Tamandua tetradactyla: one gene and its partner. The protein of the gene in region 2 binds, or shares a complex with, the protein of the main gene of each other region. Links are inferred from orthologs where the notes say so. Each region holds a gene or a part of one and is shown on either strand. Other genes may lie near its edges.

Region 1 (11,613 bases), on a different chromosome or scaffold from region 2:
CGGAGCCAGAGGTGAGTAGCTTGGTCCCTGCCCCCATCCTCATCTACTTGTGTTTGGGTCCTTGTGGACCCTTGTGACAAGGGAGGGACTCGGGTTTGTGCAGTAATCCAATGTGGTGAGGTACCCTGGGGAAGGGTGGGCCCTGGCCAGTTTTTTATCTCAACTCTGGACCTTGGTTGGCTCATGGGGACCAGGAGTGACCGCTGGCAGCTGGGTCAGTTCTGGGCTGAAATATCATCTCTTCCTGGTAGATGGGGGAGTTGGGGAAGAATACTTTGAGCATTGTAGAAGGAATGTCACAGGTGTGCCCCATGGCCCAGCTCCATGGCATGAGAACCATCTAGTAAGTTTGTTAAGACCCAGATTTCTTCCACCCCACTGCCCCAACATGCTGCCCAAGAATCTTTGGATTGTGTGCATTGTACCATGCTCCCCAGGGAAGAAGGCTTGGGGCACTGGCCTCACTGGATGGAGAGCATGGCCAAGCCTTGAACTGATAAAAACCCTTTGCACGGCATTAAAAGCCAGACTATTCCCCTGCCCTATCACCTTCTCCTCCCCTTGGTGGTCCCTGAGGCAGGCGGTGAATCTCCACTGCTGTTTGAGAGCTTCCCTTCCTCCAACCCACCCCCACTCTGACCCTTGGCCTGCTGGGCTCAGGAGGACCGTCACCACTGTCCAGGACCCAAGTCAGATCTCCAGTAGGAAAAGAATGAGCTAGATGGAGCAAATGTTTTCCTTTTCCTGGTTGCCCCCAGTTCCTTGGTCTCAGGAAGTCTGGAGTAGCACCGAGCTACTCTAGCAGAGGGTGTTCTCTTCCCTAGCTGTAGTGCGCCTGGGGCAGTCTTGGCCAGTTCTCTTTTTTCCCTACAGGTGAAGAATCATGCTTCAGACTGAAAGGGCAACCAATAAGATCGAATCCTTCCCGAGTGGCTCCCTTCCTTGTCTCCATGTGTCTGGAAGTCTACCAGTGGCTCCCATGTTACCTGAGGTACCCATTCTGGACACAAGGCATAGAACAGAGGAATGGCTTGGCCAGACCAGCCAGGAAGCCTCCCATGGTAGTGCTTTGGATGTCAACTTTCCAATAAGATCATGCTGAGGCCAGGGGAGGAAGTAGGCCTGGGACCAGATCACCATCCTCCTTAAGAAGCTGAGGCCTGGTCTTGTAGGGGGCATCTGGGCAGGCTCCCTGAGAGCCCTGAGAGCACTCCCAGCCTTCTCTGTGAGCAGATATTGCTTCTGCTGTTCTTGTCCCCTCCCAATGTCCCATCAGCACTTGGCCCCAGCAGTCCTGTCAGGGTATGGAATATTGTGTAGCTGTCAGGCCCGGGCAGCTTTCTCCAGCCACAGTGGGGCACAGGAAACATAAGTGTGTCCCTGTGGTCCCCTCTTAGTCTGAAACTGAGCTGTTATGTCCTGGGCTTGTGGTTCACTAAACCCTTTTTGGTTTTAGATTCCCCATCTAGATGATATAGCTATCCTTCAGAATAGGTGTATCATTTTTATGTCGTTTCTCTCGTCTCTTGCTGGTATGATACTATGTATTTCAAAACTGATCTGGAAAAATGTACTATGTCAGAGGTAACAAAATTAAATTTGTATTTCTTCTTTCTGGTCAGAGGTTCCTGGTGTGGTCTCAAAAAGCCTCCTCATTCTGGTCCTTGGACTGTCCCAGGTTGTCTTTCCTAGAGAAGTAAAGCCCTTGAGACACTAAAGTTTAGCGGCTCATAACAAGCTGGGGTAAAGAGGAGGGGCCAAGTCTTGCCTAGCTTCCTTCAGTCCAGACCTGTGCACTGACTTGCAGGGAACAGGAGCCATACAGAGCAGAAGACATTCCCCCAGCCTGTCTTGTGGTCATTCAGGCCAGCTCTGCCCTACAGAATGGCCAGGCCATATCTGGCTCCCCATTATCCTGGCAATTAGTCTGCCCTCTTCCAAGCCTGAGCTGGTTTTAGGGTTGTTCCAGGAGAAACTAGGACATGAAGCCAGCTAGAGGCCCCCACTGCTTACCAGCAGTGGATGAGGCCTCTGACTGTGCTGCTCTACCTGTGACACCTGGAAAGATGGGATTTGTTTCCACTATTCAATCCTGGGCTGTGATCTTGCCAGTGCCCAGTATGAACCAGGGGTTACAGGTACTCCCAGTGTTCCTGGGGCCATAAACTCTCCCCAACTCATATCTGAGCAGCTGCTCTGACTCTGGTACTTGGAGGGGGTGAGCGTCCCCTCCAACAAAGTGTATTTTTCCACATCAACCCCTGTAACTGTTTCAGATATTTCAGCCTGTCTTCTGCTTATACGGGCATAAGGGCCAGGAAACATGAAGGCAAATGTGTTCAGAGCCCTTGGCACCAGAGGTCTGAGTACACACTATTCAGAAAAGTCTTGCTATTTTAAATCCCATACCAAGAAGAACTACAACAGAAGACATTTTTCAGATATAAAAGGATTTTTGTTTAGTTTTAGCTCAGATAAGCAAGAAGAAACAGTGCCCTTGTTCATCCACTCTAAAGCAGTCTAGCTATACAGGAGGGAGTCACTGGCTGGCCTGCTCCAAATCTCATTTTCCAGATATAAGTCTTTTCCAACTTGGAGCCAGGTTGAATTCACAGGTTTCTTCAACTTGGTAGTAGCTGGGAGCCAGCTCAAGCATAAAAGTTTCTTATAAAGCACAACCCGTTCCAATAGCTGTCCAGTGCTATCAGTCCTGTGTGGGACGGTGGGAAGCCGGCCCCAGATCCTCTCCAGTGCTCTGCTCAGCCTAGTCTGGCGCAGGTCCTTAGTGGTGGGTCGACAGCAGCACGCTCCCTTGGCGGACGTCGTTGCTCAGGTCTCGGGTTCAGGGCGGGACGGAGGTGCCCCTTCGGCGAGCAGCCCGCACTAGACACTGCTGCAGGACCGGGTAGAGGCGCTGACAACCCTCGAGGCCCAGGCGCACGGCCTCCGCCCAGCTCTCGGTCGGGCCGCCCTCCCCGCTGCCCAGGAGCCCGGCCACCTGGTTCAGCACCGGCATGAGCGCCACAGTGAGGCCGGCGGCCGCGCGCTCCTCCTCGAGCCGCGTGGGGTCCAGTAGCCAGGTAGGCGCCGGGCCCGACGCGCGGCTCAGGCCGCAGCCCACCACCAAGTCGTACATCTCGATACCCGCGTCGGCCAGGGCGAGAGCAGCGGCCGTGAGCGCGGCGGCCAGCGCCGACCCTCCGTCCTCCAGCAGCAGCGCAGACACCTCGAGCTGCGCGCGCGGGTAGCGACCCAGGCGCACTGCCGGTTCGAGCGCCTCCTGCAGGGCCAGCGCCAGCTCGCGCTCCTCGCCGCCGCCTGGGGGCGCGCGGCGCCTGCGGCCCGCGAAGGGAGCACGGCGGAAGTCGCAGAGCAGGCGGCCGCGCAGGGCAGCCGGGGCTTCACCGCCCGCCCCGGCCGGGCCGCCGCCGCGCTCGCTGCCCTCGGCCTGGCGCGGGCCCGACACGGCGCACAGCACCTTGGTACCGCCCGCCTCCAGGTAGGCCGAGCCTTTGGCCTGGCTCAGCAACCCGGCGCGGGCGTACACGGGCCGTAGCCGCGTGGGGTCGCGGGCGGGGGGCGCCTCCTCCTCATCCGCAACATACAGCTGCGGCGACTGCGACTCTTCGGGCCCGCGGATGCGGCGGTGGTCCCCCGGCATGGCACAGCCGGCCGTACGAGCCACTTCCGCGCGTCCCCCACCTCGTTCGCCTGCTTTTCCGTTCGCTTAAAGGCGCGCGCCCACGCAAGGGCTCTCGGGAGAGCAGCGGGCGCGGCGTGGCCACAGTGCCCCCTGCTGCCTTGGAGGGAAAAAGGTGACTCTACCGAGCCCCGAGTCTGCAGTCTGGACTCTCTGGGCTCGTTGGACCGATGGAACGTCTGCGGACCTGGGCCCGGCCCGCTGACCTTTAGCCCCCCCAGGCATGGGAAATCCCAGAGCATAGGTCTTCATTTATGTAAGTTGTACCTTTTAAATTTTGCATATATTTGCGTGGTTACTCTATATCCATCTTCCTCACTGCTCCAAAAGTGACCTTTTGTCTTACACCTGTACCCTCAGAGCCCTGCATGAATGGAATTCCCTCCCCTTCTCCCCAGCCCAATATATTCTGTAGTCATCTCTGTATCCTTAAGCCTCTTAACTTGATGGGTGCTTCTTGTGCCTGTAACAGGTGGCCTGCACCTTTCCTAGCACAAACCTGTCTTTCCTTCTCCCTCTTCTGTCAGTAAGGCCGAGAGTGACCCTGGCCCCAAGATGAGCCCACTGTATCCACAGGGCATCAGTCACAGTCACCACAGGCAAGTAGCACCTTTTAATCTCCCCTCACACTACTGTTTCCAAACCTAGCTCTCTTTGGACTTGGGAAAACTGGATTCAGGCCCAGGGCAGGTGCTCCATCATCACTGTTGGTCTTTGGGTCAAGGAAGCAGCAATGACTCTAAATACCTCCTTTCTGACCTAACAACCCCATCTTCATGTCAACAGCTTCAAAGGGAGAGAGGATACAGACCTAAGAAATGGAGAGATTCTACTAGAGGCAGCTCCCCAAGAAAGGGAAAGGAACATTTGTTTCCAGTGAACCTGTAGATCACCTTTTAATAATGCCCCCGCTCCATCTCTCCCAACCTGTTCTCCCTCCACCTCCACAAATATGTCAAGGCAATCCCAGGGGAAAATCCCAAGTTCAGAAGGTCTGAACTTGGACTCAGCAAGAATTGGTCCTTTCAGCCAGGAACCAGCAGCAGCCACAACATTCAACCCACAGAAACCCCAGGAATAAATGTCACACTGGGGAAGGGGAAAACACATGACATCATCAAGTATTGCACATGGTCCTTTTATTCTCTGCAGCAAAAAATGATTCCCTATCTGCAGACCCAGAAGCGTTGGGTCTGCAGAGAACTACACTTGGAGACAGGAGCATGACGATGTTAAATAGCAATCCTGGGGTAGTGGTTTGAGACAGATGGCGCTGATGTTTAGGGCTCAGGACAGAAACGTAAAATGACCCCGAAGTCACAGGACATGACAGTTCCCAGGTTGTATTCCAGTTATCGCTGGGTTAGAAGGATGGACGGGGTTCCTCTGAAGGTCCCAGGGTTCAAATGTCCTTGCAGGTGGAGCACTCCCAGCTGGACGGATGCATCTGGGTGACTGAGAACTGCTTCCAATTGGAAGTCACCCCTCCCCTCAGTTCTTCACATCTCCCAGGCGGAGCTGGGCAAAGGAAGTGGCCAGCTGCAGTGCTTCCTGCAGGCAGCCCACATTCTTGCCTGTGGCCTGGGCAGACACATCTTTGCCACCACCTTTGCCATCCATGAGGCCTGATACCTGCTGCACCCACTCACTGGCCTTCAGGCCCCGATTGGCTGCATTCTGAAAGACAAGGAGAAATGGGAGTCAGCAGAGGATGGGATTGAGAAGGTGATAGAGAGGGGAAGGGAAGGATAGATGAGGGACCCAGATACCCATTCCTGCCTTGAGTGATGATGTAGGCCACTGTCGGAGGCAGAGAGATTATATAGTGGGCACAGGGTTGCAGCTGATGGCCACTGAGTATGTACTCAAGGACACCTAGGTATCAGCTGGTCAGTACGGTGAAACATATTCACCAAAGAGAAGGCCTGAGGGTAAGGGGTGCTGGCAGAGGTGACCAGGAGGCGGGCAGGGAATCAGCTGTCTCTAAGGGGGCGTTACACAAACCTATGTGAGCCTTGGCAGCAAACTGCAAGAATAACTAAACTCCCTCTGAAAAGCTAAAAACAACACTGCCCACTGTAACAGGTTGGGAACAAGGCTGCACGGAGTTCTTACCTGGGGGACTTGACACAAACATGTGATCTTGCCAGCCTCATTATCCACTGTGAAGAGCATGGCAGATGTCTGAGGGGAATGTGTCTTGAAAAGCTTCAAGGCTTCATTCAGAGCCTGTGGGGAACATCTGGTGTCAGGGCATAGCTGGGGGTGGGGGTGGGGAGGAAGTCATACTGTCCTGCAGCAAGTCTGCAAAGCTCAGCAGCCCTCCAAGTGCCATACCCCACCCCGCCTTCCGAGAGCAAGTGCTGGCCCCTGGGAGTCTGTACAGAGAAGGACTGAGTACAGCCCTTGCCCACACTCTGGCTCCATGGTTTGCCTTCCACCTCCAGAAAGTGCTCCTTCCCACCAGAAGCCACAGCTCTGCGGCCATCAGATCTCTCCATGGCTCAGCTAATCTCAATCCCAGGCTGCGGGTCCTCAGGCAATGACTCTACACAGAGCCACAAAGCCTATACTTCAGCCACCAGATGCTGATGAGACTATGAGGGACGGGAACATGCAACAGAACCCGCAGAGCAATGTCTAGACCCCCCCCTGCCCTGAGCATGCCTTGGCCGAGGCGCCGCTCTCCATCTCCAGGATGACAAGAGGCTGGTTGGGGTGGCTGTCAATGAGCTGCTTTGTCTTCTCCAACACCTGCAAGGAACGAAGTCCAGAAGAGAGGCCTTCAGGTCAACAAACTAGACTCAGAAACCCTGAAAGCAGTATTTACAGGCTTTGCTGAGTAAATACATCCTCTTTGCTCCCTTGTAGCTACCAGCACCACCAAGACTCACTCTCTTCTGGACATCAGCCTTGCTAGCCCGGTCTAGATCATCCATGACTTTCTTCAGGGATTTGAGATTCTCCCGCAACTCATCCTTCTGCCACTGAGGGATGACTGCAGTGGCCAGTGCCTGGACCAGAAGAGGAAGACTATTTGAATCTAGACCACAAGGAACTAGAACGTGAGGCTCCAGTCCACCCCTCCTTTCTGTTTTTGAATACCTAAGTCCTTCCCAAATAGTGTCTGGGACAGGGAGAGAGTAAAAAAAAAAAAAGGTTATCTACTGGCCCTGAGACCAGTCACTTTATGAGCACCTGCAACAGCTGTGACAAGCAGGGCTGGAGAGAAAGGGACAGGGTAAAGAGAAGCTGGGAGCCTGTGGAAGACCTGGCCCTTACCAGGCAGTGAACACAGAGCCTGTGATGGGCTCTTTGGGAAGCCCCTAGTATAATAACCACCAGGCAAGCTTGGAAACAGTGGGTACCCATAGCATCTTCCCCAACTCCCTTAATACCAGTGCTCCTTTGTGTTAAGGATGGGCTCTCCTGCTCTCAGCAGTGGGAGCAGGAGGCAGGTATCAGGATGCATGGAGTTTTGCAAGGCTATAGTCTAACAGAAGTCCACCCAAAGCCCCATTCCACTGAGAACCAGAACCTGATTGGCTACAGTGAAAGTTCTTTAAGAACAAGGATATAATGTCTTATTAGACACAGGAACAGCACTAAGCAGCCCTGGTGAAAGGAGAGGAGGGAAGCTGGGAGGGAGGGCAACCCTACCTCACCAAAGTCAGCTATCTCCTTCTGCACATCCTTGTTTGGTGCAGTCTGAGCCTTTACTTTGTCCTCCATGATAGAGAGCAACTTCTTCAAGCTTTCCGCTTTCCTGAGGGCCTGGAAGGGGACAATCAGAACCATAAAATCCAGAGCAGGTAACTTCCAGGTTCACTATTCTGTCTGTAAGCAACTGGGCAAAGCATGGACAACAGATATGGAGCAGCAAACCCTGAGACATCAGAATTTTTCCTTCCTTTACAGAGCAGGTATTTATAGCCTCATGTCTCAGAAAGAAAACACCTTCCTTGTGCCTGTCAGCAGAAAGGCTGGACCATAACTGGGCTTTAGGGGGTGACCAAGAACTTGCAAATCAGGAGCCATTTTCACCCCAAGAATTGATCACCCCTTAGACTTCAGCATCAGTTAGGGACAAGCTACTGTTCCTGCCCCCAAATAACTGTCCCTCTATACCATACATCTCTTACTATCCCTGGGGATACACAGAGACATCCTGAGGACAAAACTATGGCTTACCTCCCAGACATGGATATGTTATGGAGGTAACATATAAAAATATATGTTATGTTACATATATTTTTAAAGATTAAACATAAGAGTAGTGGTGACTTTATTCTGCCACTTAGGAATAACTGGAGGAAATTTGGGTGGGCCGGGAGCACAGTAAATTGTACTTTCAATCCTGACTGTGGCACCTGTGAATTAGCGGACTAAGCCCCTCTCGCCCAGTTAGCTAGGCCAGCCTCATCTACTCACCTTTTGGGCTTCAGCACTTGTAACACCAACAATCCTTCGGATGCCCTTGGCAATAGCTTCTTCACTCACAATCACAAAAGCTCCTGCATGACTTGAATTTTGCAGGTGCCTGAATTGCAAAACAGAAAGTCCAGGATGAAAAGAGCCTGGGAGCCTTTGGCCGGGATGTATAAGCCCTATTTTGTAATCCCTTCCTGGGAAGTTCTCTCAAGGGGTAAAGTGAGTAAAGGTCCTTAATGTTTAAGGGAATTCCGGAATATGGCGCTAGGTAAATGAGCACAAGAGAAGCAGCAGGAAGGGGAAAAGAGAGAAAGCCCAAGTCTGAGGGCATTATCACACTGAGATGCAATCTTTCTGAGCCTGTTGTTGTTTTTTTTTCCCATAAATAACATGGGTTGAATTCACTCTCACTAAGCTGTTGTGAAAATCAAATGAGATAAACATGAAAATAAATTAATTCACATTTTTTGGCCCTCTTTGATAGGATACAAGCATACATATATTCTTATACCCTGGCTCACTGGCTGAAAATGCTGGAGGATTACTTCTAAAATCTTATCACAGCCCCTTCAACAAATAGATTCTATTCTCAAGTTGCTTGGAAAACCTCACACTTAACTCTCACAATCATTCTGTGAGGAAGGTATAAGGTCTCTGAAAACAGTTTCCTGTGTTCTAAAGAACTTCTTACAAATAGGTATTAAGCAGAAGTGGGAATCATTTGAAGGCGCAGTTTAGCCAACCAGAGGGAGGTCTGGCATTTGACCCCCCAGATCCTGAGCCTATCCTGCCCACTGCTCCCCGCCTGCCTAAAAGCTTGCAGGAGGTCCTGGATCTACTGGATAGACTCTGCCATGGCCTTAACAATGTTCTTTCCTCCAGACTTCCGCTGGAAATAGGAAACTCCCCAGGCCACCATGACATTTCCCAAAAGACAACAAGAGCTATGGAGAAATCAAGTTGGCAGAAACAAGTGGCTCTCCCACACCAAACTGGTCCTAACACCATGGCCTGTCTTAGAGGTTCTAAGACAATGGAGTTTCATTCCCTGAAGGGAATTAGGTGAGGATCTCAGGAATGGAAAGAGGCTCAGAACTGGATCAAGAGTTTGATGACATGCCATAGTCTTGCTAAATCCTGAGTTCACACCAGTCTTCTTGTTAAGATCAGTTGAGGGAAAAATAGAAAGCCACTGTGTAGTATTAATGTAGTGTTTTTACTTCCTTCTCCTAAGAAGAACATTTCATCACAAACCTAGGAAATGTTAAGGTCAGACACTGAGGGATCTGATCAGAGCACTAAGATGCTTCTTGGGAATACCATTTGGCTGCTGCATTTTTAAGGACGTCATCTCAACCTTAGAATAACAACAACTGGTCTATCCTATTATCCGCCTCCCTAAAGGGTAAAGGGCAAGCGACTCCATCTACTCCCACTCATTGCAAGGTACTCACGTTCCCCCACAGAACTCAACAGAAGTGAGGGAGCCAGCAGGGCCAGAGGGGTCATCCAGCAGCTCGGAGACTGGAACACCAATGGAGACAACTCGCACAGGGTCAGGATAGGTTTCATCAAACACAGCCCGCAGGCCCTGGATAGCTTTAGCTGCTGCTAGGGGACAATCCTGAGTATAGACAGGCTGCCATGCAAAGAAGAGACAGAAAAAAAGCTGGGGAGGATCTTCTTTGGGGGTCTAGTAGGAAGCAGTAGGGAGAATGTGTTCTTGCAGGCAGGACCTTGGATTTCCAACCCCAGCTCTGCCAATCATGGCCCTGAGCCTTCTGAAATAATGCACCACATGTAAAGTCAAGGGGACCAAGGTAGGGTTTTTCAACCATTTTGCTATGTGGACACGCTATAGTAAAACAGACATAACTAAAGGAACTTAGCTTGTCCTGAAGAGAGGGTAGAGCAAAGACCTACCCAGCTTTAAGGAAATTGATGTGCAAGACAGAATATGTACAATGGAGTGAGAGCATCGAAATTGCTGAGGCTCCGAGGATACAAAGTGATGGTACCTGGAGTGAGCTCCATGACCCAAAAAGCTTAGACTTCATCCAACCTACCTTGGCTGCCTCTATCATCTCATTAGCAATTGCTTCTGCCTTTTTGATCTGTTGGGTAGACATGGCTCCCTTGGCAGTGAAGTCAAACCGAAGGCGATCAGGAGCAACCAGTGAGCCTCTCTGGTCAGCTTCCCCAAGCACCGAGCGCAGGGCAAAGTTCAGAATGTGGGTAGCTGTGTGGTTGCTCATGACAGGTCTCCGTCGGGGCTGTAAAGGGTAGAGCTGGCTAGTGTACAGGGCTGTAACAGACTGCTGGTTGTTCCCCAATACCTGTTCTCTCCTTCTCAAATATTAGAATTTTTAGTTGGACACGTGGCTATCCAGAATAAAGAATACATTTCCCAGCTTCCCTTACAGCTAAGTGTGGGTAAGTAACTGAGTTCTGGTGAATGGGTTGTGAGCAAAAGTGATCTGTATAGCTACTGCTTGGAACAGAGGTTGGCAAATTACAGCCTTCAGGCCAAATCTGGCCCATTGTCTGTTTATATAAATAAAGTTTTATTAAAACACAACCACACCCCTTTGTTTATACATTGTCTATGGCTACTTTCACACTACAATAACAGATTTGAATAGTTGTGATGACAGAGGCCGTGTGTTCCATGAAGCCAAAAATATTCACTATCTAGCCCTTCACAAAAAATATTTGCCAACCTCTGGCCTAGAAATAGATCTAATAGTTACCTTCTTGGATCATGAAGACAAGAGTAACACCCCAGTACCAACAATGGAAAAACAATCAAGAAAAAGCTGAGCCCTATGACTTTATGGGACAGACCGTCGGTATCAGCTTGAACTGTAAGGGGAGAAGTACATTTCTTGTTTTAAGCTACTGTTACTTTGGAGCTCTGCCACATGCAACAGAACCTATTTCTTAACTAATGAAGGATCCTTGGCTCCTGAGATTAACCTGGAGAAAAACAATCCATGTAAACACATCTATGGGATCTCAACTGAAATCACTGTGGTCTAAAGTGGGAACATAGAGATTTAGCTCTCAGTTACATACTCAAAATCCAAATACACCAACATTTACACTGCATTCTACTTATAATTTCATTTAGTAGTAACAATGATGGAGCAATTTAAAGCCAAAGAAGGAAATGATTACTAACCAGATCCAGTGCTGGCCAGCATAATGCAACTCACCTCATCAATAAACAGCCGGACCTGATCCCCTACTTTTAGGCTGCCATAAATCGTTCCTATGTGGAGCACATATCCTCCTCGCACCTGAGCATTTTTCACTGTAAACTCAGTTTTCTAAGAGGGATTAAGAAGAGAAGGGGGAAAATATATACATATATAAATACACATACATACGTATATATTCAAATTGTCTAAGACTCTCCTTAATGGGGTGTATGTGTATGCATTTATACCATTATACACACCCAACCACCATTACATATACAC
Region 2 (12,667 bases):
CAGTACCCTCAAAGTACAGATGAAGACACTGAGGCAACAAGTTTCAATACCCTGTTCGTAGATAGAGAGGAAGTATATATAACTTAGCCCAGAACTGCTTTTCTTCATTCTCTTTTCTTCACTCAGGTAACCCAGCCTATACTCTCTACTAGAAGCGGACAAGGCTGTGCTACTAATCCAACACACCTGGGGGGATTTCAGGCTCAATATGGTCCTCTGAGGCTACGTTCATCCCCTCATTACCTTGCTTTGACTTGTCCAAAACTGCAGAGCTTGCAGGAGAACTGAAAGTCAAACCACCTTCCCTACTAGAAAACAACTTCCCTTAGGAAAGGGATGACATCTGGTCCAGCTTTGCAGACCCAGGCCCAAGGCAGAATTCAGCAAGCAGAAGGGAAGCTAGATAGCAAGTGGCTGGGGGGAAGGGATAAACTTCAGCAGAGAAGCAAAGGTATCACAAGAGATGTAAAGAGTTGCACACACCACGTGATCCATGAGAGGTGGTACCATATAACTCCCGGGGAACTTTCTAGCCCTTGCCATAAATCCCCTTTTTCTTGAAATAATTTAAGAATCTCTAACTCTCCCAAACAAAAGCTCTTAAATCTCAAAGTCACAGGGTGAACCTTTAATGGAGTCACTATAAAGGCTGGAGATAGAATGCAGATGATTTAGGACAAAGCCATACTTCTAACAGAAGAAACAAACTTGAAAGAGGGCCAACTTTTCTTTAGTATTTAACACATGCCAAGTGTTAGACATCTCTTCTCCAATCATTCCTCACAACCCACTCCCCAAGTGGACATATCCTCATTTTACACAGGGGGAGGTGGCTTAGGTTACTGAGGTAAAAATCACTCACATTGTGAGCGGCAGAGCTAGGAAAGAAACTACTCAGTCTGACACCAAATACTCATTCAAACAGAGGTGGGAGACCATGTGACCTCAGGCAGGGGAGTAGCATAGATTTCTGCACCAGGCTCAAGGTCGTACCAGGCCAGTGGCTTCCCATTACCAGTTCCTGAGTCAGATCTGATGGCTGCATCAAAATCTCCTAATACTTTATGAAAATGTCCATCCCAGGCCCTAGCCCTGGAGATTCTGATTTAGAAGATTGGAGTAAAGTCTGGGAATATGAATTTAAATGTGAGTTAAATATACTTTGAGGCTTCAGAACCACTGGACTAAGATGAAGGTTAGTAATGTCTTCTCATGGATGACAGAAAGTACACATCTAGCCAGTTAAGCAAGCCAGGAAAGAGGATAAAACATAGATTCTGGAAATTCTGAAATCTGTCTCCAGGTTTCTTCTTGTGAACAGAGAAGAAACAGTTGAGACAAAATAAAACAAAAGAAATGCAAAAGAGGGTTATAAAGGAACTCGACTTGGGGAATATACTACCTGTGGTAGTTAGGTTCAGGTGTCAATTTGGCCAGGTGAAATGCCTAGTTCTACTGCTGTGGACATGAACCAATGGCATGTGAACCTCCTCTGTTGCTGATTACATCTGCAGTCAGCTAGGAGGTGTACCTGCTGCAATGAATGATGTGCGATTTAACTGGCTGGCGCTTAAATGACAGAGCTCAACGTAGCACAGCCTAAGCAGCTCAGCATACCTCATCTAGCACTCGCAGCTCAGCCTAGGCCTTTGGAGATGCAGAAAGGAATCACCCCGTCGTTGGAACCCAGAGGGCTGGAGAGAAGGCCAGCAGGGATCATCTTGTGTAAGAAAGACCTCAGTTGAAAGTTGGCTGCCTTTCCGCTGAAGAACTACACGTTTTTAATGAAATAAATCCCCTTTTATTAAAAGCCAAATCCATCTCTGGTGTCTTGCATTCTGGCAGCTAGCAAACTAGAACATTACCTAAAGAAATAACAGAAAATATCATATAATATTTAAAGGTCTAGAAAAGTTGGGGGAGGTGTATATGTTTCAGAATTTCCCCTTCTCCTTCTTGTTTCCCTACAAGCTTTTAGGGGAAAGGAGAAAGGAAGAGAAGTAGAAGAAGCAGAGATCCTCCCTTCCCTTGCCTCTAAATCTCTAAGGAATGAAAGGCATTGACTTTCACTGCTGTGGGAAGGTGACATGAGAGTATGGGCTTTGCAATCAATCACACAAATCTGGGTTTAAATCCTCACTCCACCACTCACTTACCTTGTGACCTTGAGCAAGTGACTTAACCTCTGAGATCACTTCCTCATTTATAAAATACAGCTAATGATATTTACCTTCAGAATAGTTGTTTAGATGCAATGATAAAAACTATGATACAATATGCACCTAAAAAAGAGTGGGTATGCACCTAAAAAAGAGTGGGCGAGCATACTGGTCTTCAAAGGCTAATTGGGGCCTTAAGAGAAAGCAATCAAATCATATATCAAAATAGTGATTTATCAAACTTTCCTTTTGCCCTACCCTCACCTCCTCAGATCCATTTTGTCTTTCTCTGCCCTAATCTGTGTACTAGTAGGTTAACCCCTTCCAAAATGTATCACCCAGACTCCCTAGATGCCTTCTTGTTGGGTTTGGTCGAAGGGCTCCCTAGGCCTTAGGGATATCATACAAACAAATCAACAGATGATTACACATCAAGACCCATGATGGGAGACTGGCTGAGGCTCTATGACCCTATGATGTGGTTTCTGCCCAACTCTGTAAGCCAATCTTCCACCATTACTCCCAGCTCATTCCTGTGGCTCCATGCTTCCTCCACCTGAGGTACTGGGGACTCACCATCCCACCCCCTGGAATGTTTATGCTACTGCCTAACTGGCAGTCACCCTGAAAGCTCAGCTCAAAAGCCATTTCTTCAGGGAAATCTGAAGAGACTAGATGAGTTCTCAGGTTTTTCCTTCATAGCACTCAATACAATTTTTAATGAAACATAAACACACAACTAGATTTGAAATTTCTTTATCTTACTTCTAGCATGTGAACAATATAAGGGCAAGCTCCTTCCTATCTCCCAAGTCAGGTTAAGCTATGTGTTAAATGAAAGAATAAATACTGAGTGCTGTAGAAACATATCTGCCATGGATTTAGGGAAGCAAATCCTCTGTCTTAAGGATGTCTTCCAGAGCACTACAGCCTCCAGTAATCTTCAGTTCCTTTTTTGACTTACACTCCCTCGGTATGTATCTTATGGCATATACCTTATATGCCATTGTCTATACGTTATTCATTTTTCCTGTCTTACCTATCTTTCATTTATGCATTTCACAAATATTTTAGTGCCCCTACTGCTTCTCACATAATATGCCACAGGCTGGATATTCAATAATGAAAAATAAACAACTAATTTTGCCCAAACTAGATCCTGAGCATCTCAAGGGCCAGAAACATAGCTTGTATTTTTTTTTACTTCTTCACAGCACTGAGCACATAATAGATGTGTAATAAAATGGGTCCTTAATATACTGCCGGATAGCTAATGAGTTGCCATTGGAACTTAGGACATGATCTGTCTAGCCTTGGGAGGTAACAGACAAGGAACCTATGTCCCTTGGTCCCACTGTCAGAAATGGAATGTGAGAAAAAATGGACTGCACAGTGAAATCAATATTTCATGACTGTGGTAGCAAAGAAAGAAATAAAAAGGATTTTACATTTAGAGGCAAATTGTTATCCTTAATGCCTCCCCAAGAAGCATCTCTGAGAATAAAAATCACATGAAGAATGGCACAAAATTAAGACAGAAGGATAAATTTAATAGCTCTGTGAGGATTTATATATCCCGCCCCCAAACAAATAACACACACATATCCCACTATTTCTGATCTGAAGCATAAACTTAAAAGCACATGGAACTGTTGACTCTATTATTCAGATTTAATATGTAACCTGTAAGCCAAATGTTGACATTTCTTCATCTATAACAACCGAGGATAACAGCACGGCACAATTTCAAAAAGATCATGAGCTTTATTCACCGTTGTGGACCTTTAACGATAGCTGATCATAGCTGATCGCTTAACCTGATGGCCACACCACGGGACCATTAACTTTGTAGTAGCAGGCCTCGGCTCAGGAAGGGAAGGGGAAGGGGCTGACACCAGAACTCTGCAAAGAGTGGGATGAAGAACTTGGACGGGAGGGCTGCACAGTGACATAACAAATGGGGAAACAGCCAAAGTGGGAACTGAGGTGGCTCATTACCAAGTCCAAAGTCCTCCAGTCCTCTGGAGTGGTCAAAAGCAGGTGTTGATGAATGAACACAGAAGATGCCTGGTTCTAACTGTTTCTAGGGATTTTAGCTCTCCACTGGCAAAATGGGAAACAGCAACAATTATGCTATCGATTTAAAGAGCCGCTTTATAAACCTAAATATTCCTCCCCTTTATTCGCAAGACACTTATATTTTCAAAGCGCATTCACCTAGGGTGCACGCTCTCTCTGTGCCTCCCAACTACTAGGTGAGGAAAAGTGGGCCAGGAACCCCCCACTGTGGAGGGCCAGGAGCAATCAATCAGGCCCAAGCAGGGAAAGTCCCCACAACATTGGGGCAGAATGTCCCCAAGAGTTTAACAATAACCAATGTTAGGAAACTGAGAGAACAGGATATGTTTTGGCAACAGCTAACGGCATTTTTCTGCTTCTGTGATATGCCTGCCTGCTAGCAACTGCAAAACCACAACAAGATTTTAGCCTTTATAAGCACACCTTGAAAACCCCCGGGTGCTGCTCTCTCAATCTTCCTCCTTGGAAGTTTCTGAGGCAGTCGCTGGCTGGCTAATAAAGACTCCAAATTCGCTTGCAGTTTCGAATTATGCGGTCTCTCTTTCAGTGTGCTCCACAACACCCACCCCCACGTATCCATTTCCTATAGGAGAAATCTAAGGCCCAGTCACGGAAAGTGACATGCGAAGGCCAAAGAGATGGTCCCGGGAGTAGTGCTCCTTCACTAAAAGCAAGTCTCCGGGAGCGCCCACCGGTTCCCACCTGGGCTCAGAACCATGTAGACCTGAAAACCGGCAAGAACGCAAACAGTCCTAAACGGATCACCAGTCCTAAAAAAGCCTACGTTGCAGGCTCTAGGTTGCAAAGACCGGCCGCAGAGCCACTTAATGACAAGGTAAGCCAAACCCGCGGCAGCTGAGTTAATCTCCTTCCGGGTAGGCCAACGGAACCTGGCGGCCGTCCCCCGACGCCACTACTGCAGATACCTGGACGCCATGCACAACATACACCTTCTCTGCCTCACTCAACGACACGAACGCCATGCTGCCGACTGCACTGCGCGAGATACGTCACCAGCCCGCGCCAACTCCGCGCGGATCGCACCCTCCCCGCGCTTTTGCGTCATCAACCTGCGCGGCGGCCCCTCCTGCAGCCGCTGCTGCCGCCGCCGTAGCTGCCGGGAGCTCGATGGGCTTCACCTGCGCGCTGTCCGGTAACTGGCGGAGTCCAGGGAGCTGTGGCACTTCGAGGCGTGGAGCCATCGCCGCAGCCCGTAAAAGAGTCCCGGGTGTGGGACTCCAGGGAGAGGCGACGGCGGCGACGGACGGAACCCCCCGGGGGCCTGGGACTGGGAAACTGCCACCGGCTTCACGGTCAGTTGGGAGGGGGCGGGGGTTGGAGTGAAGAAGCTGGGATGAGGCGAGGGCGCGGGCAGGGACCAGGAGACTCGCAGTGGGAGAGGCGCACGGCGTGGTTGGCCCAGAGCTGGAGTTGAAGTAGCAGGTTGTGTGTGTGAGAGAGAGAGACAGACCCCTAGTCTGGAAAGCTGGGCGTCGTAATTGGCCCGGGGCTGTCTCCTTGCTGTCCTTTCCTTTCTCCCCATCCTCAGTTCCATTTCCCCGGCCCCTAGAATGGTTAAGAGGCAATGAATCCTTCTTTAGATGGTTCTCAGTGGGTAGGGTTGATAGTGGAAGACATTAGTCCTGAGAGATCCTCACTCTATCTCACCATCACCCCCACGGGGACAGAATGCTAACCTAGAACTTTGCAGGGTCCCCTTGCTCTGGGCGATCGCCAAACCATTGTCTCATAGAGAGTAGTGGGGAGGCAACCCGCGCTGGCAAAGGAAGCAGTGCCAGGATGCCCCCTGCACTTCCCAGTGGGGATTGAAAGCCTCAAATTGATGGAGTTGATAGCTAGGAGCTGTGGACAGCTGCCCGGGAGGGTACGGGTGGGAGCCAGCCCCGTGTGGCCGAGTCAGAGTATGGGCCTTGGATATCCAGAGGATACCTGCAAGGTGAAGCTGGGGTCACCGTAGGAACCCTTTAAGACAGGCAGAGACATACTTTCATACTTGTACAGACATACTGTACAAGTATGAAAGGGGTCATGCAGATAAATGGAGGAGAATTGACCCAAACTGATTGTAGAAGGATGAAGTCTGATGACTTTTCTTGATGTCCCACTTTTGAGGAAACTCTCTGTTCTCAAACGTGAAAATAAATAACCTTTGATAGCTTGATCATCCAAAGAATAGTTGGTAATTCTCAGATATTGTCTTCAGTGTATTTTCTCACTCTACTATTGGGAAACTACTATGGATGAACCTTGCACTAGCTTTGGAACATGAAGACAAGTAAAAAACAACTCCTGCCTGGAGAAGTACCCCAAGGAGAGCAGGAGGCTCCAGGGCCAACATAACCCTAGAATATGGTCGTTAGAGCTATGATGGTATCATCAATTGGTGCATAAGAGGTTGTACAGAGAAGTGGTGTCTGCCCACATTCTTAGGCACTTAATTGCTGAGCCCCATAATAGATGATCACTTCTTAGTAGGCTGGACGTTAGTTATTTCTTATGTCTATACATAGTTTTCTACAAGTTCACCTTCAAGGAAGACATCTTGCAGGGTTGGGCTTTGTCCTCCAGGAAAGCTGCAAGAGGTAAAGCTGGAAGGGTTTCCTCCCTGTGAAGGCACAGGTGTCCCACCTGTTGGGGAACATAGATGCTTGCCTGTATAGTTAGACAGCTGGATTCTATGTGAGGACCTCTGTGATGAGATAACAATGTTAGAAGCAATATTTTGTGCTAGATATTGCTACAAAGGAGAGATCTTAGATGTGGAATTTTAATAACGAGGATATTTGAGGGGATTGAGGACTTAAAAGCTGGCAGCAAATTAACAGATCAGAAAAAAGAGAAAGAAAAATCTGAACTTGGATACCATGTGGCCATCTTTATATAAAAGTCTTTCATTATAGAGTTAAATATATAGAACATAAACTGCCAGAAGCTTCCTTGCTGGAGAGGGGTTGGCAGTATTTGCTAAATAATGTCATGAACAATGTCTGATACGTTAGGGTAAGTAGGTATGAGAGGTGTAAATAGTAGAATGTTAATTTTAAGTTCTATATTAAAATAATGACATCTTCCCTAATGCTTCAACTTAAATGTTTTCAGAAATTTTTACCACATTTGTTGAGATAATAAAACATTTTTAAAACTCACAAGTTCAGAGTTCTTTTTACTTTACTAAAGCAATTCAAAGAATGTGTAATAGCCAAAAAATCAAAAGTCAAAAATGGAAAATAGTTCCATTAACCCTTTTTGGGGCATACCATTTTGAAGTCTGTTTATACTAAAACTCTGTACTCTATTTTATTTAACACAGACTTACATAGCACTTGTTATGTACCATACTCTGTAGTAAGTATTTTACAAAAATTAATTCATACCTTACTAAAACCTTATGAGACAGGTGCTATCATTATCCCCAGTTTACAGATTGGGAAACTGAGGTGCAGAGAGGTTAAGTGTCTTTACCAAAGTCACAGGTCACATAGCTAGTCAGTGGCACAGCCAGAATTCAAGCCTAAGCAATTTAGCTCCTGTGCCTGCACTCCTAACCATCACCTATGTGGTCTCCCTCCAGGCTCCATTTTATTCACCAGAGTATTTGGTAAAGGAGACCAATATTATGAAATTGGCACTTGCCCTATAAATTATAGTTAGCTTTAATCCCAAAAGTGAAGAGTCTGTTTCAGACATAAATTCATATCCCCTTGAATTCTTTTCTCTAGAGAAACATGGAATGTGATGCTGACGGGAAGTTCCTATGTCTGTTTCAGCCCACTCTTTTAGATAGGCAAAAGGTTAGTTAGATTCAAACTAAGTAGAGCTTGAAGCCAAATAGCTTCGGAGAGCCTTTACCAGCAGAGGAGGCCGATGGATTTGATACAGATTCCAACCATGTGTCACGCTCCCAGAGTAGGCATCTAGAAACTCTTCAAATGATCAGGAAGTGTTGTTTGCATGCCTGCAAGTTCCCTTGCGTTCTCATGGGTGTGGAGAAAGATAAAAGAAACCCAAACCATAGCACTTGCCAAAAAGGAATTAGGAATCTATTGTAGTTGAGGGGCCTGGGCACTTGAACTAGGACATGAATAAGACAATAAAATAAAGTGCTCAATTGAGACGCATGGTAATTAGAATAGAGGCCAGCCTGTAATAAGGTACTAATTGTGCAGGCCAGACATCATGTGTAAGAGGTGATGAGCTACTACTAGATACTAGTGGGCAACAATAACTTTACGAAGATGGAGTAAATCTGTCCCACCTAGCCTTGGTTAATTAAAGCAATAAAAACCAGTAATAGAATTGCTGCGGGGCAGTGCATGGGGTGGTGCTTCCATCCACCCCTTGGTGCTGTAGTTGGAGAAAGCTTTCTTAGTCCAGCAGGGGAACATTTTATTCCTGGTCTTAGGCATGGCCAAATTTTAGGCCTTTTCTTTGCGTTTCTACCATAAGCCCAGCACCCCAGGAAAGTGCAAAGTGATCTATTTTCCTTATAGAGCTGTTTTCTTTAAACACTTTGCATTTGTCTTGCCTATACCTTGCCTTAAAGAATACTCAATATAAATAACCTTTCATAGACTGGCCGGCAGGTCTGTGTCAGTCTTCTGTTCTAGACATTCTTGGAAATGCAGTGATAGAAAAATTGATAGGAATATATGGGTAAAGCTTGTTCCCACTGGAAGAAAAGATCTGTAGGGGTGTTCCATTTTGAGGGGGTGGTAGGATACTTCCTACATCTCTCATTACAGTGTTTATGAGAAAAGGGGGTCACGTATACTGATTGTTAAATCTGGAAGTATTTAGGCATGCATACATACCCTGAGAGCCATAGATGGTAACTGAGTCTGAAGTAGAAATGCCTGGATATTGACCTGTTGGAAAAAAAAGGAAGCCACTGCTATGCTGCCTCTTATTTCTTTCCATTTTTGCATTTTTAAATCATGTACTTTCTTTTTAAACGGAGAATTCCAGCAACAAATGGCTCAGCCATCCCTGGCCTTCTTTGTGAAGGTGAGAAGGCTATTAGTTGCATGTCCCACCTAATTCAGTCATTTTTCACAATTTAACTGAAATGCCGCAAAAACTCTGTCTTTCATAGTCTCCTCCAAATCACAGTCTTCTTGGTCTAAAGAGACTTGGCAATAGAACTCTAGATTTTCTGTGCCACCCAAGACATGAATATCTCCTATTCAAGGTCAGTGGAGATGGAATGCCTTTGAGTGGGATCGATTTCATGTCCTAGGAAGATGAGCCTAGTAGGGCAAGTACAGTTTTGGCCATAGTTGTGTTCCAATAAGTTTTGACTTTGCTGTGTACAGAGCATGCATCTTTAAACGGAGAAATAGTTGCCGGGAAGTTAGAAGAGCAGGTTGGTTGGGTAGTAACAATCTATTGTAGGGATGTCTGTCTAAATATCTGGGTTTTGAAACTAACTTGCCTTATAACTTTGAACAAATCGCTTGGACTTTCTAAGCCTCATTTTACCCTAAAATGCATAACTTGCCAGGTTATAAAACTCAGAGTAGATCTTGGATATACAAGTATTTAAACACTGGAAAATGGTCATGTTTTAACTTTGGATTTTAAGACTGCTCAAGTTTACCATTTATAATAGTTGATGTATTTTGTTGTTGTTCTTGTTTGCATGGGCAGGCACCAGTGTTTTGTTTGTTTGTTTGGGTTTTTTTGGCATGTGTTTGATGTTTTTTTGTTTTTTTTTTTAGTATGGAACGCTTCACAAATTTGCGTGTCATCCTTGCACAGGGGCCATGGTAATCTTCTCTATATTGTTCCGATATTGGTATATTTGCTGCTGAAGCGAGCACTTGATGTATTTTAATAGTGCTTTTTCCATTCTGAAGAAATTTTAAATGAGCAAAAGGAGATTTCATTCCCTACTTGATTGAAGAAACTGAACATGCTCAGAAAATTAGCAGCCATTTACAGTTATTGTTGACTTTATAAAAATAATATCCCTTTTGAATATTAGCAAAGAATGGGGAAAAGAAGTTAAGGAAAGCTTTTGATAAAAATATTATAAAATTGAAGACATTAACAAAGATGTTAAATTTGCTCCTGAGAACAGAGGAGTCAGAGACTCAGCTCTGGTAGGGACCTTTGCAAATCAGCTGGACCATCCCTCTTGTTTTACAGAAAACAGGCCCAGGGAAAGTGAATACCTTGCCCAAGATCTTGAGATTAGAATGGCAGGACTGTGAGTAGAACTCTGGCCTCTTGACTCCAAGTCCAGTCTTCATTCCATTTAACATTGGCTTCCCATCTATCTCCAAAGCTCTCTAACAGATTCCAGAGAGCCTCCAGCCTGAAGGGGAGGGACAGTGAACTTGTCGAATACGAATTGTTTCCCTTGTCCCAGATTCCTCCCCAGTCTCTGCTTCTTGCATGGCCACTTATAGTGCCTGGGGATAAGTGGAATCAGTGGAGACCTGAAGGCCTAATGGCTTCCCATTTTTAATCCTGGATACAGTTGCAGTACCAGGTTCTCTTTCTCTTCCCTAGCTACTCTTTCAAATCCCTTCAAGCACTTTTGCTTTGTGTCACTAAAAAAGCTAAACTGTTGCCTAAGTGATGTCACAGTGGCTGTGTATCTGCACATGGCACAATGTGGGGCCAAGTGCCATTTGCAACACCCTCAGGTGGGATCCTTTAGCTGGTTGGTTTCTTGGAAAAAGCAGCATCCTGTTAATTGACCCCACAGACAGTCCCACAGAATTGTTCCTCAGCACAAGCGTATATGGGGGGCTAAATCTTAGAGTGATTCTTCTGGCTGAGGCTTCAGCCCTCCTGCCTTCTAGCTTAGGGCAGGATCAGTCTTCTGACTGTTGGCTGGTGATCAGCAAGGGCTTGACCTTAGAATCCAAGATGCTTAAGTTCAGGCCCATGCCTTATGAATGTCCCAAGTGTAAGGCTGAGTGCGGTCACCCAATAGCACTGTTTCTATATAACCATATGTGGGAAAGTCAGATGTAAGTAACCCAGGGTCACTGGTGGAGACAGCTATACCCTTTCCCCTTTTATTTTCTAGTTATTGGGCAAAATTTAATGGTTGGAGTGATAATAGGCTCTGAAATGAGAGCAAGCTTGGGGGTGTATCCTGTCTCTACTATTTCTGCAAGTATGACTTAGGAAAGTTTTTCCATGTCTCGGTATCCTCATCTCTAAAGGGGATGGGAAAGTGGAGACATGAGATAGAGTGAATGTGAGAATCAAACAATATGGGGCATGTCTAGCACTCAACTCTGTGCCTGGAGGGCAGCAGACATTCAGTAAGAGCTTGGGAAGAGTCAAGGCCCCGTCCTGAATTCAGCATGCCCCACACTGAGGCATCTGCCATGCAAAATGCCCATCTCAGCGTCTACCCTGACAGGGGCCAGAAGGCAATTCACTGTCAGATGAGAGCATGCACTTAATTACAAATGGCTACTCATAATATGAGTCTGTCATGTTTATTAAATGTGTAGCTGGACAGTAATTTATTATTGCCTTTGTAAATAGATTTTCCTGCTGGGTTACTGACTTCCTGCAAGGAAGAGTTAATGAAAGAAAGTAGTAACATAGCAACTACTTAGATGGCAGTGGGTACCATATGACAGACTTAGAAAGCAAATTAGCCATCTCTGAGCATTCTGTTGATCTGAAGATCAACAGATTCCTTGACCTTCATTTCTTTACCCATCTGAAAACTGGCTGGATCAGAATTTGGAAGAGGCAGCTAGTCCTCACTGTCTCTTTCCAAAAGGCTGTATTTTTGAGGGCCAAAAGATGTGTTAGTCCAGTGAGGGTGAAGCTCTGTTCAAAAGGGAGTGGCCAGAAGTAAAAAGGTTCATGGAAGAAGCAATGCTGTGGGTTTTCTTGTTTTGTTTTAAAAATAGATATTATCAGTTCCCTATAGCTAATGGAAGGAAAGTCGTGCTTAGAAGCCATTTCTTGGGTATTTAAAAAAGGAGTCGCAGAGATTAGAGAGCTAGTTCATTCCCATCACTTTAGAGATGGAGACAGTAACAGTGAGTTAAAGTGACTTTAGGTCCCTCAGATATGTGTGAGGGAGCAGGTAGTAGAGCTCATGTTTCCTGCTTGGTCATTCCTCCCCACGCCCCTTTTGCAAAAAAAAAAAAAAAATGTGTTATGGCTGTAGGTGTGGTCGCTGGTAGCAAGCAGAGCTGGATGGAATCCTGACTCCACCACTCCCTTTCTCTGTGGACCTTATGAAGATTATTACACCAAAGATTACTACACTGCTGAGCCTCATTCCTTCCATCTGTAAAAATGGACAAGAATAATAGCCACCGTGTCAGGTTGTAAAAATTAAACACACTGCTTTGTGTAAGTCCTCAAGCTTAATAGGCATTCAGTTAATGGTACCATCCCCTTCCTCTAGACAGCAATGCAAAAAC

Evidence for each region.
Region 1: EXOSC7 (region 2) and EXOSC6 share a complex: the UniProt entries of both Homo sapiens proteins name them as parts of the RNA exosome core complex. The link is inferred for Tamandua tetradactyla from reciprocal best matches to the Homo sapiens genes EXOSC7 and EXOSC6.

The regions. Positions count from the first base shown.
Region 1 is NC_135342.1:68,672,956-68,684,568, reverse strand, and holds EXOSC6 (exosome complex component MTR3), read right to left. Parts: upstream 3,718-11,613; 5' UTR 3,662-3,717; coding exon 2,843-3,661; 3' UTR 2,443-2,842; downstream 1-2,442. Other genes in the region: uncharacterized protein LOC143660365, read left to right, coding at 1-11, 874-897; AARS1 (alanine--tRNA ligase, cytoplasmic), read right to left, coding at 5,192-5,377, 5,816-5,929, 6,368-6,454, 6,595-6,714, 7,361-7,474, 8,132-8,240, 9,586-9,770, 10,198-10,404 and 1 more. UniProt on the Homo sapiens protein: Non-catalytic component of the RNA exosome complex which has 3'->5' exoribonuclease activity and participates in a multitude of cellular RNA processing and degradation events.
Region 2 is NC_135341.1:41,894,829-41,907,495, forward strand, and holds the start of EXOSC7 (exosome complex component RRP42), read right to left. Parts: upstream 5,273-12,667; 5' UTR 5,222-5,272; coding exon 5,165-5,221; intron 1-5,164. UniProt on the Homo sapiens protein: Non-catalytic component of the RNA exosome complex which has 3'->5' exoribonuclease activity and participates in a multitude of cellular RNA processing and degradation events.